Cricetulus griseus: one gene and its partner. The protein of the gene in region 1 interacts with the protein of each later gene in a pairwise test. Links are inferred from orthologs where the notes say so. Each region holds a gene or a part of one and is shown on either strand. Other genes may lie near its edges.

Evidence for each region.
Region 2: the proteins of Ciao1 (region 1) and Ciao2b interact in binary tests that used the Homo sapiens proteins (3 or more experiments, as listed by UniProt). The two-hybrid records come from large-scale screens. The link is inferred for Cricetulus griseus from reciprocal best matches to the Homo sapiens genes CIAO1 and CIAO2B.

What each region holds. Positions count from the first base shown.
Region 1 is NC_048599.1:51,335,741-51,342,469, forward strand, and holds the end of Ciao1 (probable cytosolic iron-sulfur protein assembly protein CIAO1), read left to right. Parts: intron 1-869; coding exon 870-957; intron 958-2,033; coding exon 2,034-2,274; 3' UTR 2,275-4,113; downstream 4,114-6,729. Other genes in the region: Snrnp200 (U5 small nuclear ribonucleoprotein 200 kDa helicase), read right to left, coding at 4,967-5,110, 5,212-5,304, 6,233-6,314, 6,397-6,557. UniProt on the Homo sapiens protein: Key component of the cytosolic iron-sulfur protein assembly (CIA) complex, a multiprotein complex that mediates the incorporation of iron-sulfur cluster into extramitochondrial Fe/S proteins.
Region 2 is NC_048596.1:180,904,979-180,912,421, reverse strand, and holds Ciao2b (cytosolic iron-sulfur assembly component 2B), read left to right. Parts: upstream 1-2,923; 5' UTR 2,924-2,962; coding exon 2,963-3,110; intron 3,111-3,266; coding exon 3,267-3,346; intron 3,347-3,559; coding exon 3,560-3,685; intron 3,686-4,079; coding exon 4,080-4,125; intron 4,126-4,554; coding exon 4,555-4,652; 3' UTR 4,653-5,490; downstream 5,491-7,443.

The DNA.
Region 1 (6,729 bases):
GTCTCCAGAGAATCACTGAAAGGACCAGGGGTAGCTTTGTAGAACAAGGCCTCCAACCAAATTTGAAAAGGATATGTAGAATTTTTTTTTTTTTTTTCCAGACAGGGTTTCTTTGTCACTTTGGAGCCTGTCCTGGAACTTGCTCTGTAGATCAGGCTAGCCTGGAACTCACAGAGATCCACCTGTCTCTGGTTCCCAAGCGCTGGGATTAAAGGTGTGTGCCACCCGCCGCCACCACCCAGCTAGGTTTGTAGAATTTTTAGCAGGAGAATGTAATGCAAGAATTCCAAGTTGAAAACCTAGCAATAGCCACCCCCTCCCCCTAAAAAAAGCTGCTGAGAAATGCTGGCATATACCCTTAATCCCAGTACTCAGGAGGCAGAAGCTGGGGGATCTCTGAGTACAAGGGCATCCTGGTCTACATAGTAAACTCCAGGACAGCCAGAGCTACACAATAAGACCCTGACTCAAAAAAAAAAAAAAAAACAGAAAGAAAAGAAAACACAGCAGCATGATTTGGCTGATGGTGGGAATGTCTAAACAGAATATGAAGAACAGGATCCCTTGAAGCAAGGCAGAGAATTAGAAGAGAGGAGTAAAATAGGTTGGGTTGGCTAGTGAGTGGCCTTAAAGGGCAGATTAACTCATTAGATACAGCCTGTAGTGGAGCAGGGATGCTTCCTTCTCAAAATTAATTCTTGGGTGGCAACCCAAGTGTGTAAGGCAGGTAAGGAGGGTGGGAACACAGCTGGGACAAGGACTCGTTGATTGGCAATGAGATGAGGAAAGGCACATTAGGATCTCCTTTGCAATAGTAGAAGTGCTCAGGACACAGAATGCCTTGGGCTTAAGAGAATTCTGTCGCACAGGGGTGGCTTGCAGTGGCTCTGACCCCAGCTGGAAATGTATCTGCACTTTGTCAGGCTTCCACACCAGGACCATTTACGACGTTGCTTGGTAAGACCTCAGTCCCATTCCAGCAGGGAGTTTAGAGATGGCATGACTGCGTTTGTTCAGATTAGGCCTGCCATTCTGGTTTATAACTGGCTGGTCTGCGGTTCTAGGGGCAGCAAGCTGACTGTGCCTAAGACTATTTCTGGGATAAGATCCGAGGCTTTCTTTCCCTCTCTGAGGAGTGGGGTGGGGTGGGGTGTGGGGAAGGTAAGGAGAGCAGGAAGAGGGGAGTGGGAACTGGATTGGTATGTAAAATGAGAAAAGATTGTTTTAAAATAAAATTTAAAAAAAGATTTAAAATAAAAAAAGGATAGCACCAATCCTTAGGATTTACATAGCATTGGACCATCCTGAGATGATCATTGAATATATGCGTTCGTAACTGAGAACTTTGTGGGTTAGTAACTGACTCTTATGAAGACTAGAAAAGCTGCTCCATTCTTAGAAGAGTAGAGGTTAGAGGCCACTCTGAACCTGAGTCTTGCCGTACACACTTTTAATCCCAGCCCTCAAGTCCATAGAGGCAGCGGATCTCTGTTCGAGGTCAGCCTGGTCTACAGAGCCAGTTCCAGGACAGCCAATGTACATAGAGAAACCCTGTCTCAAAAAATAAAAAATAAAAAATAAACATTTCAAACATTCATAGCTAGACAACTAGAATTTTTGATGTTTTGTTTTTTTTTTAACTTACTAAAATGAATAGGCAGTTGAACATTCCAGATTCAAGTTTTACACAGTGATGGGCAATGGGGGAATCTTCAATGCTTAAAGTAAGTTCCTGACTTTAAAAAGGACTAAATTATGGTAAAACTTGTTAATGTCAATGTTAAAAGGAAGCTAAGGATGCCGTGACATGGGCAACTGCTTATGCTAAGTGGGGAAAGTGTGATTTGTTTGGTCTCATCTGTAGCTGGGGCAACCAGGTGGGAACACCTGAGGACTAGGGCCTTGGTTGGTGTGATAGCTTAGGAAAGCTTTTCTGTGGACACTTAAGCAACTGAGGAACACTTCTCCCTAATTTGCTAGGTTGGAGAGGCAGGAATCATCTGCTTACCCACTAACATGTATGTTCCTCCCAGGTGTCAGCTGACAGGGGCCCTGGCTACAGCCTGTGGGGATGATGCCATCCGAGTATTTGAGGAGGATCCAGGCTCAGATCCACAGCAGCCTACCTTCTCTCTGACAGCTCATCTGCATCAGGCCCATTCCCAGGATGTCAACTGTGTGGCTTGGAATCCCAAGGAGCCAGGGCTCCTGGCTTCTTGTAGTGATGATGGGGAGGTGGCCTTCTGGGAGTATCACCAGACTGCAGGCCTCTGAGCTATAGCTTGACTTGGCCAAGACTTTACTAGTCACTGAGGGGTCATTTAGCTTTATGCCTTTCTGTTTGGTTGTGTAGAAGTCACAAGACCATTCACTGTTTCCCTTCCTTGATGGGAGGGAGCCATGGAACAGAAGTATGTTGTATTGCACATTTTGCTTGATTTAGAGCATGGTGTTACATATTTTGAGGGTAAATATAGTATTTATAATCATTATGTATGTATATAGGAGAATGTGTTTGAGAGAGTTCTGAAATTTTGAGCTTTATAGAAATAATCTGTGTCCCACTTCCTGTTTTATAAATAAGATCATAATTCTACTGTTGGAAATGGGTCCCTTCTTCCCAATTTCTAGAGAAGTCCTTGCATTTAAGACCTGCAAGCCAGTTGTGTTTTCCTAGCACCTAGCACTCAAAAAGCAAAGACAGGATGATTAGAAGCTCAGGGTTATCCTTGAAGCTAATCTAGGGTATATAAGACCCTCTTTCAAAAAACAGACATTCAAAGTTTGTTCAGTAAAAGAACACCTCTGCTCTTCCTTAGAAACCTTCACGTGCCTCTTGAGACATGCTGTGGTGGCAACTAATCCCCCCCCCCAAAAAAATAAGAAAATTAGTCTTTATCGAGGGGCAGAAAATATTAAGACAATAGCTTGTGGCCCTCTTTAAAAAAAAAAAAAAAAAAACCAGCAGCAGGTTGGGATTATACACCTATAATCCACCACTCAGGAGGCAGAGGCCAACCTGATCTACAAAATGAGTTCCAGCAGAGGCCATGTCTCAAAAAACAGAACAAATGAAAAAACAAGTAAAAGGCTCTGTGTGTGTGTGTGTGTGTGTGTGTGTGTGTGTGTTGCCAATCTGGTGTTTTTCAGGGCAAAGAATAATTAGATGTCTAATAAGCCTTCTAAAGAGTGGTGAGGGTCGTCTCCAAAGCTGGAGACTTCACCTAATTTTTTGATACTGTACAATTGTGACCTTAGATTTCTTGGAAGACAGCAGAAGCAGTATCAAAAGCAGCGGTAGGTAATGATAGACAAATCCATGGGAGTCTTAGGACCCTTGCAAGGTCAATACCGTAACATGATCAAGGACTGGCACCAGTTAAATGGCCATCAGTCTTCACTATCTTGTTTCCACAGTAGGAATGGAGACACTTCACTTAGAAAGATGACTAATTATTGTTACACATTGACCCTTGGCAACTTCTCATACTGACAAAAGAGAAAATTCCATCCAGCCCCTCTGCAATGAAGTAAGGTGATCCTAAGGAAAAGCCATTGGACTTTTGTTGCAAGCCATTCATGGAATACCATTTTTATCAGAAAATTAAGCATTTAGGCTTGGCTATTTAATTGTGTTTCTGAAAAATGAACACATTGAACCTTTCACTAATAGTGTTCGCTGGTAATGGTAAATGTTTAAAAGACAGAATTTCTGAAAACTTGTAACAAACCTTAGTGGTAATTAAATTAGCAAATGAGTAGTGAATTGTGTGGATATCTTGAGATCTGTGGAATTTCATGGGTCATTCTCCAAATGGGCAATGTACTGATGTTGCATCTCAAAGGAGAGCCACAATTATTTGAAAACTTCTCTTTTTCTCTGAAGTTAACATGCTTCAGTTCTACCACACAACAGATGAGCATAGAAGTGGCTGGCTTCTGTTAAAGTAGATGTAAAGTGATTGCAACACTGTACCATGTTACCCTTCTTCTAGAACTTATTTTTCCTAAAATATGTTAATGAAATTATTTTGAAATGGACTGCCTTAATTTTTAATATAACAAGTATCAATGACTTTAATAACCTAGATAATAAAAGCTTTCAAAAAAAGGGGGAAAGGGTCTTGAAACCATCATTTGAAAACTGCTGGCCCTGGAGCAAAGTAAATCACCTTTCAGTGTTTTGTTGTTGCTTTTGTTTTATTTTGTTTTGGTTTTTTGAGAGAGTTTCTCTGTGTAGCTCTGACTATCCTGGAATTAGCTCTGAAGACCAGGGTGGCCTCAAACTCATAGAGGTTCACCTGACTCTGCCTTCCAAGGGCTGGGACTAAAAGCGTGTGCCACCACTGCCCGGCCCCCTTCCTGGTACATGTTAACCACTCCTAGTGTGTTATCTCCTGGGAGGGAAGAATTTCAGAACAAAGATAATGAGAAGCCCTATCTGTTGGCCAAGATGGAGTCAGCTCAGGCTGTCATACCACTAACTTTGCTCAGCAACACCCAGAAAGGAGGCTGAGGTCATTCGAATGCCCAAAGAGTAGCTGTCTGCCACTGTTTTGTTCTTCAGTATAGGACAAGTTTGTCCTCCACATTCTCAGTAGGAAGATTCATTGCTAAAATGAGTTTTTCTGGTCAGAGCTTTTGGTTGAAGAAAACTTAGTATCTCTGTTAAGAACAGTTTTTCCAAATTATTTATTAGAATGTCTGACTCAGGAACTACAAAAAGAATGCCTTCCAGCTACTGTACACAGTTTATACTTGACATGACACTTGAAAATACTGGACCCAGAGCTTGAACTGCTTGATCCAAAGTGGGAAAGATACTAGATGTGGACTGGGAACAGCAGAAGCCTGAATGGTCAGACCTCAGGCTAACAGACCGGATCTCCAAAACCAGTTCCCCCTGAACTATCCACATTGCTGTTTCCAGGTTCGATGCCCCTACACATGAGAGAATGCCTCAGATTCAATCTGAATCACTGTCTGTCTCAGCTTCTTTCACATCCACACTGAATTTATACTCCTGGTCACATCCCATGTAAGCATCACTCATGAAGTACAAAGTATAGTTGTGGCCACCTGTGGCTGGGGCCACAAAGTCTAGCTTCACCTAAAGAGAACAGGCAGAAATCAGGTTAGTGGGAACCTGGGGGGAGGCAATCCACCTGTCAAACCCCAGGGATAGATGTGGGATTGAGTGCACACACTCACCTTGGCTTTCTGCTGCAGGGTCAGCCTTTTGATGGAGATGAGGCTGTTGGACTTGGCATCCCCAATCACAACCCACCAGCCCTCTTCACGTTTCTACAGGGACCAAAACCAAGGAAATTGAGAATAGAAAACTCAATGGCTACAAGCAACTGTAAGAACAGTTACTAACAGAGTAACAGAACTCAGATTAAAGCTCTCCACAGTTGCTTCCTGAAACACAGTTTAGTAGACTTTTTGAAACACAACTCTTGGTAGAGTTTCTAAGCAGTCTAAAGATTTCCCACAAAGGACTTAAGTCTTCAAATAAGTAGATAGACAAATTTTTTCAGTTCTACTTCATTTCCATAACTCAAGGCACCTTTTTTTATTTGTTTGTCATTGAATCTAAAATGAATTATTAGAGATTTAGCCTTGGAGCAATGAAGCTTAAGAAGCTTATGTGCAAGGCAAGCTAGCTGAAAAAATCTTAATGTGGAGATGAACCTGCAACAGAGAGGGGCAAGCCTGTGGGGCCTCTTCTGACATCTCGTCTCTCTGGAGAAGCCCTCTCTGTTGGCCACAGTAAAACCAGTCTGCCCAATGGCACTTTCCTTAGAAACTTGAATAATTTGTCTACAGAAGTACATGAAGTTTATCTATCATCTGAACCCAACCTTCAATTCTCCCACAAAAAGGTGAAATTTGCTTTCTGTTGATTTAAAACATGCAACTAGAACCTGAGTGGACTAAAACTGAGGAAAGACCAAGTAGAAAAGTTCAGTGTCCTGAGCCATTTGTAGACAAATGTATCTCAAGAGTCAGAAAGAAACATTGCCTGATGTTTTTTTTTAACAATGGACAGTCATCTAAATTGTTTGAAAAAAAAGAAAAAGAACCCATGGTTCCGAGACTAATACTCAGCCTTATGAGTTCATTACCCCAGGCTACCATTCCTTGGTGGGAAATGTATCCTGTACCTAAGATCTAGCCAGTGAACAAGGCCTCAAATGGACTTAGGGCAAAGCCAGCTGCTAGAACATACCTGTGGGAAGAGTGGTGCAATAACAGGGCCTGTGACTTCCTCTTCTCGCTCCAGCTGCACTAGCACCACAACTGGCCCGCCACTGGTGAAAGCAAAACAACACATGAGTACTATATTTGTGGGCCGAGACCCCAGGGCAGGACTCCTGACACTTTTTGTCTCACCTGCGGATGCTGTCTTTATCCACTACTTCATAAGACAGTTCGATATTCGGGTAGCGGTTACAGAAGCGGGCTACATCTGCAATCTGGCTGTCAGTCAACTGAAGCAGTGCGTTCCGTTCTTCATCCTCCATCTCCATGATGTCAAAAACACTCTCCACTCCCTACAGTGGGTATGCAGAGGTCAGGGGAGCAGAGAACACATGCCACAAGCAAGTAACACTGGCTCTAAAGAGCTGCTCATTTTATATCCCACACTGCCAAGTCATCTAAAAACAGCTTTAGAAAGAATACAGACCACTTCTGGCCGCTCTCAGCATCTTGATTCAGATGGAA
Region 2 (7,443 bases), on another chromosome or scaffold:
TTTTTTTAAACTTAGAAGAAGAAAGAGGAGGAGAGGGAGGAGGAGGAGGAGGAGGAGGAGGGGTTTGCAGAACTTGGGAAAACTGAAAACCCAGAAAGGCAGTTTCTCTGATGCAAGAAGCTATGGCCATCTCAGGTCTGTAGGAAGAAGGATCTTGCAGCTTGATGACAGAGATAAATATTTTAGGAAAACAAGTGAAGACAACATAATTTGGCACCTTTATATAAATACAAAGTCGAAGGGAGGGTTTTGTTTGGTTTAGAGGACAAATAAAAAACTTAGGGATGAAAATAGGGCAAGAATGAAAATTAATGACAAAGAACAATAGGGGTGTCGCAGGAGCCAGGATGTTCAGGGGAATTGTAAAAGGCAGAAGGACCCTCAATACATAGATAGGTGCTCAGGGAGAGGGGACAGCAATCTCTTCTGACGAACATGTGTGGGCCTTCTGATACCCCCTTCCTCATTTCAGAAACCCACAGTCAAACATCCTCACAGTGTAGAAGGCATCTCTGTCCATGTAACTTACTGAAGCCACCACTGATGTTTGACACTTGTTACAGCAAGAGACAACCTCATTGAAATGGTCCTGTTTGGAGACTCTCTTTATTAATGCTTCTTCAAGTGAGAATCCGATTATGATGATATGAGGAAGTTGTGCCATGCTGTGAGGTGGAGTGAAAAAGCACAGCTCCAGAAAGAGCACAAATTCATGACCATATTGCAGAGAAAAAAAAAACAAGCATAAGTGCTCACTCCTGTAAATCCTGGACATTCATAGAAGACCCTGCCAACATGATGGTCCCTGAGAAACCAAGCCTGAAAGGGACAGAGAGGCTGGGACTCAACTCTGTCCTCTAGTGGTTGTAAATGATTCTGAGCCCAGGAGTCAAGTCCAAACAGGAAACAGGATTGAGTCAGGCTGAAGTTTCTGTCTGCCAAGGCACTGGTGGCCTCCATAGCCTGACTGACAGCAGGCAAAGGAGAAAGTCTGGTAGGGAGGGGCTAAGGAATAAAGTAAGTTCTGCTTCCTCGGGGCAGATCAGATTCAAGTGGCCTAGTGGGAGGTCATCCAGGATCCACATCAGCATGCCCTGGGGTGAGAGGCATAACGAGCTGCACACATACCCTGGACATAGTGCCATGCTGGCTCTGCTACTAATAGGGCCTACAAACTACCTAACACATCCCCTTTGCCTTGGAAGCCAAGCCATTCTTTTGCCCCAACTCCAGGTCCAGTACATGGGGAACAGAACAGTAAATGCAGGTGTGGGGCTAGGAGTTTCTGTATCCCCCTGGACAAGGAACCTTGGTGGGAGTTCTTTTAATCAGTCAGTGCTGGAGAGTACATTCAGAACCAATGCCAGAGGAAATGCATTATTGCCATCATTATCCTCTGATAAGTAACAGCTCCAACCACTTCCACAGCCACTGCCAGAGAATGAAAATGTCCTCACCCACCCAGAGGTTTCTAACCTCCAAGTTCAGCACTCCTCATAGCTCCTTATGCTTGACTAGATCCTGTGTTGGATATCCTCAGAAATATCTGACCCTCCTAATGCTACAAGAGACCCTGGGTCCCTAAATGCTTTTGGCAGTTCACTGGGTGGGTACACTACTCCCAGTCATTAGCCCTTCACTAGCTTCTCTCAATGGTGCACCCTCACTCTCAGTCTCGGCCTCTGACTCTACGTAATTGTGTAATTCTTATTCAAGTCCCTGTCCTCTGCAAGGGTCTTCTGCACTGGGAAGAAGAGAATCAAGGGCCCACACACCATAGCATTTAAACAGCCAGAAAGTCTGTCTAGCCACAATTAATTCAGTGTCTTGGTTTTTGTCTGTGCTGCCATTAGGCATGCTGTGTCTCACAGACAGGCAACAGTGTGTATCAAGGCCTCCTCCAGAAGTTTGACCTGGGCGCTGGTAGGCTGGGCACAGGGGGTGTGTGCCTGGCATGGTTGTTGTGCCTGCAGTAGAGTTTCTGAATAGGCTAAGGTCACAGACTGCAGTGCACTTCTGACCAACAAGCAGGGGGTAGCCTCCTCCAAGGAGCAACGGAACCCCTTTGAGACACCAGGAACCTTTGTCTTAAGTCTTGAGTCACTGTGTTAACCTCCCCTGTAATCACATTCCCATTGTGGAGTTTTGGTTGGAAAGGAGAGTTCAGAAAGGTCTACGTGGTTCTTGGCCCCAGATGGAGAATAGGGCAGGGCGGACCTTCAGGCGATTGGATCCGGATGAGAACTGTACTCACACACACAGGGAGTGGCGGGGGAAAGGGGGTCTGGCTGCCTTCATTCGAAAAAAATCATTTTTGCTTTCGGGACTCATAGTTTACGAGGTCCGCCTTCAAGTATACACCATCTTATCTATTTTATTTCCTGGACTGAAAGGCTACGTCGGCCCTCCCCAACTCATACGTGAATATGACGTTTTTCAATGACGCCTCTCCCTTATAGGCTTTTCTTCCCCAGTGGAATTCAAGTTCATAATCGCTTGTCTACATAAAAAGCATGTAATTAGTGCCTGCTGATCCCTGCTCGGGGAAACCGGCGTGTCTTTTGTGGATCTATGGTTCCGAGATAGCCAGAGAGCGAACTTGAGCATCCGAATGCCCTTTCGGCCTAGCCTCCTGAAGGGGGTGGTAGAGGTTCAATCTCAAGAGGCCCTAGTCAAATGGTTTTAGCTTCTGCGCTCCAGCTCCTGGCAGGATCGCACGGCCAAGAGCCGCGGGAGTCTCTTCTGATGCCCGGGCTAGAACTACCAACATTTTTCCGGCTTCCGCAGAGTAGCAGGCACAACAAATACACTGATCTTGCAAACTACCCGCCGAATCCCGGGAGACTGGCATGTCCCTTGCGCGACCCCGTAGTCACACCACGCCCTCTACTCATTCCCAGGAAGTGCGCCGTAGCAGCGGAAGTACACACCACCCGGGGGTTGTGGGAACCGCAGTTCCGGGATGGTGGGCGGCGGTGAAGGCGGTGGCCGGGTCGGGCTTCTAGAGAACGCCAACCCCCTCATCTATGAGCGCTCGGGGGAGCGGCCAGTGACGGCGGGCGAGGAGGACGAACAGGTGCCCGACAGCATCGACGCCCGCGAGATCTTCGATATCCACCACTGCTGGGAGCTGGCGGACGGTGGGGGTCTAGGGTACCGGGAAGAAGTGATGTGCAACACGGTGGTGGAGGGGTGTCCCGGTTAGGCATGCCTGCGGAGGTTTTGAGTGGGCCAAAACTTAGAGTTCCTTTTCCTTCACTTGGCACATCTTATTCGCTCCATTAATGACCCGGAGCATCCACTGACGCTAGAGGAATTAAATGTAGTAGAACAAGTTCGGATTCAGGTGAGTGTCAGAATGTGATAGCTTATCCAAAGTAGTTTAAAAGGTCCCATTATATGTTAAGAGGCTGGCGTTCTCCATTCACAAGCACCTAAGAGGATCTTTGGGCGGGAGGTTGTTTTTTCCAGTTTAGGTAACTTGCCCAAATTTTAGTAAAGAGAGGATTTCGGTGCTAGGGGCGGTCGTGTAATCTTTATAATCTCCTTGTCAACACAGGTTAGCGACCCTGAGAGCACGGTGGCCGTGGCTTTCACACCCACCATTCCACACTGCAGCATGGCCACACTTATAGGCCTTTCTATCAAAGTCAAGCTTCTTCGATCCCTTCCCCAGCGTTTCAAGGTCAGTTGGAGTCCAGCCTAAGGGTGAATGAAACAACTACTGAGGAGAGGGGACATCAGAGTGGAGACTGGAAGGATCCCAACTCGCAGAGACGAACTGCGAGGAAACGTCAAGCTGATTTGACAAGAATACTGGAAATACTCCAGAAAATAGTGAGGAATGTGGTAGAAAGGGCAGCTGTAGATGGGCTTGATGGAGGCACTGGCAGACCTTTAAATCAGTAGCAGCTGACAAGGCCCTTGGGTAGGTTGACTGCAGGTGGACTTGGGGTGGGACGGAAGTGCCAGAATCGAGAGGCACGATTAGAAAGATGGGTGGAATGGAGGTGGTTTCTGGAGGGAAGGGACCAAAAAAGGATGAATAAGTGCTCAGGCCCAGGTTGTCTTTCTTCCAGATGGATGTGCACATTACACCCGGGACCCATGCCTCGGAACATGCAGGTTAGTGTGAGCTGGCGGGGAAGTTGATCCCCCTCTCCCCTTGGGCCCCAAACTGTTGAGACTTCCCCTTTGCCACAATAGTTTATAAGGAAGGTTAGGACTAAGGGGGGTGGGTGTCTAGGTGACTAAAGAATTACCAGACTACAGCCTAGATCAAACTGGCCTGACCTAAGTCTCCTCCTTCCCATGAGTTTCTCTCCCATATTCCCCAAGGACATTGTATCAGGTTTCTGGAATAGTGGAGGCAGGCTAAGTACTCCCTGGAGGTATGTAGTATTCCTGAAAAATAAGAGAGTATGGGCACAGTTGATAAGGAGTCCTGGGAAGGTGATAGGAGACCTTTATTGGTAGAGATATAATCTGTCCTGAGGCTAGCAGCCTGGCTAAAGTTGCTTTAACCCTCTTTTTATAACCCTCTTTCCTACCTAGTGAACAAACAGCTTGCAGATAAGGAACGAGTGGCAGCTGCTCTGGAGAATACCCACCTGCTAGAGGTCGTTAATCAGTGTCTGTCAGCCCGATCATGAGCCTGGCTTTTGACCACCAGCCTGCACACAGGTGTCCTGGCCTCAGCTCCACCAAGGGCTTGTGGCTTTGTTTTCTTGAATCACTGACAAGGAGAAACTAACATTTTTCATTTTGTAATAAACCCTTAATTTATATTCATTTCCCAGCATGCCTTAGCATCTTCCATGATGGAGTCATTAGGGGTTGTGGAGGGGAGAGTGGTGCCTATGAAGGATGTGTCCATGAGGTGCCCCATCATTTTTTGATTTCTCCCAGTGGGACTGCAAAGATGGCTCAGCAGTTAAAAACACTGCTCTTGCAGAGGACCTGGGTTAGGTTCTCAGCACCTACATGGAGGCCCACAACCATCTGTAACTTCATTTCCAGAGGATCCAATGTCCTATTCTGACCTCTATAAGCACAAGGCACACATGTGGTACACATACCTACATTCAGACAAATACTCATACACATAAAATAAATCAGTAAGCTGAGTGTGGTGGTGCACCTTTTAGTCCCAGAACTCAGGAGACTGAGGCAAGCAGATAATCTGATTTTTGAGGCCAGCCTAGTCTACACAGAGAGTTTTAACTAAAGCTATATAGAGAGGCCCTGACTCAAAAAATGAAAATAAATCTTTTTTTTTTTTTTTAGCTCTTCTAGTGCTTCAGTTAGCAAAAGTTGCAAATGAAAAAAAAAAAAATCTTTAAAGAAATATATAAATACCTGGATAGCCAAACCACCAATGGATTCAGTAGTTTCAGTTGACCTGTTGTGACACTGGCCTTATTTGTGTGTGTTTACAGAACTATTTCTAGAGGAACCTACAGAGACATAAAGAACTATGTCCTAAATTGATATAAGTCTGCTGTCTTAGTTTCTTTTCTGTTGCTGGGTTTTTTGTGGGTTTTTTTTTTTGTTTGTTTGTTTTTTGTTTTTTCGAGACAGGGTTTCTCTGTGGCTTTGGAGGCTGCCCTGGAACTAGCTCTTGTAGACCAGGCTGGTCTCGAACTCACAGAGATCCTCCTGTCTCTGCCTCCTGAGTGCTGGGATTAAAGGCGTGCACCACCAATGCCCGGCTTTCTGTTGCTGTTTTAAGACCCCATGACTAAGGCAACTTATAAAAGAAATGTTTATTTTATGGTTTACAGTTTCAGAGGGCTAGAGTCCATGATGGCACTGAAGTGACAAGGCAAGAGCTCACATCTTAATCCACTAGTTGGGAGTCAGAAAGAGAGGGACACTGGGAATAATATGAGTCTTTTGAAACCTCAAAGCCTACCCCCAGTAACACACCTCCTCCAATAAGTCAACCCCTCCTAATTCTTGCCAGTTCCACCAGCTGGAAACCAAGTATTCAGATATATGAGCCTGTAGGGGCCATTCTCACTCAAACCACCACCACATCTGTATAACACAGTTCTTTATCTGACCAAAAATTGAGCCATTCTGATCTGAGAATAATAGTGCATGCCTGTAATTCCAGGTCATCCTTAGCTAGTAGTAAGTTTAAAGTTAACTTACATGAGCCTGTCTCAAAACAGCAAAAAAGCTAATATCCAGTATCCAGTCACATATGAGTTTTCCAGAAACAGTACTTGGATCCTTCCCAAATTCTATATGTTGTATTTGGTTCTCTCTAGCATCTAAGATTTTCTCTCCCCTTCCCACTGGTAATCAGTTTTCCATAACTACATACATGAAGTAACTTATAAAGGAAACAAGTTTGGAGGCTGGAGAGATGGCCAGCAATTAAGAACATGTACTGTTCTTCTAGAAGACCTGAGTTTGGTTCCCAGCACCCATATCAGATAGCTCAGGACCACCTGTAACTCCAGTTCCAGAGGATCCAACACCCTCTTCTTGCCTCTACAGGCACTTAGCACACCATGTGGCATACACACATACATATAAATAAAAAATAAATTGGGTTTTGTTTTGATTTGCTTTTTTTTTTTTTTTTTTTTAGAAGGGGGCTGCAGAGATGACTCAGCAGTGTAAAGTACTTGTTCCTCTTGCGGAGGACCAAGGTTTGATTACTAGCATCTCCATGGTGGCTCACAAGCATCCATAACTCTAGTTCCAGGGGACCTGATGCCCTCTTCTGGCTTCTACAGGCACCAGGCATGCCTGTGATGCATAGGCATACATGCTGGCAAAATTCATAAAATAAATCTTTTTTAAAATCTTTGAAATAGATTAATTTTGGCTTACTGCTTTGGAGGTTTTGGTCCATTGTAATTGGTAGTGCTGTTTTGAGTCCTGTGGTGAAGTAGCACATTGCTACAAGAGTATATAGCAGAGGGGAAAAAAAAGGATTAAGACCAGCCAGGGTTACAGTCCATGCTTCAAGTGCATGTTCTTGAAGAGCTCCCATTAGACACCCCCCTGTCGCTCCACTTGGAAGAATAAGCCTTTGACACTTGGACTTTAGGAATGTTTTCAGATCCAGGCTATAGCCCCTACCCTTGTACATCTTAATTCTGACCTAATCCCCCCACCAAAAAAAAAAAAAATCCCAGAGGGTCCCACCATGTGGTGGTTCCTTGTCCACAGGAGGTTAGTCTAAAGGCCCAAATAAGCTCAGGTTTGAGGGGTTTGCCCAGGAGTGGTGTGTGTGCTGTGACACTTAACCTGTAGGTAGGGTACCTATTTGTCCACTGATGCTGATGCTTAGCCTAGTCCCCAGGTCAAAATAGTAATACTCATTTTCTCTACTGAAAGGATCCTGGGGAATCTTCATCATCCATCCTTCCAGGGGTTTGTGTCATCCCAGGATGCTGGGTAAGCGAAGTGAAGTTCTATAAAGTG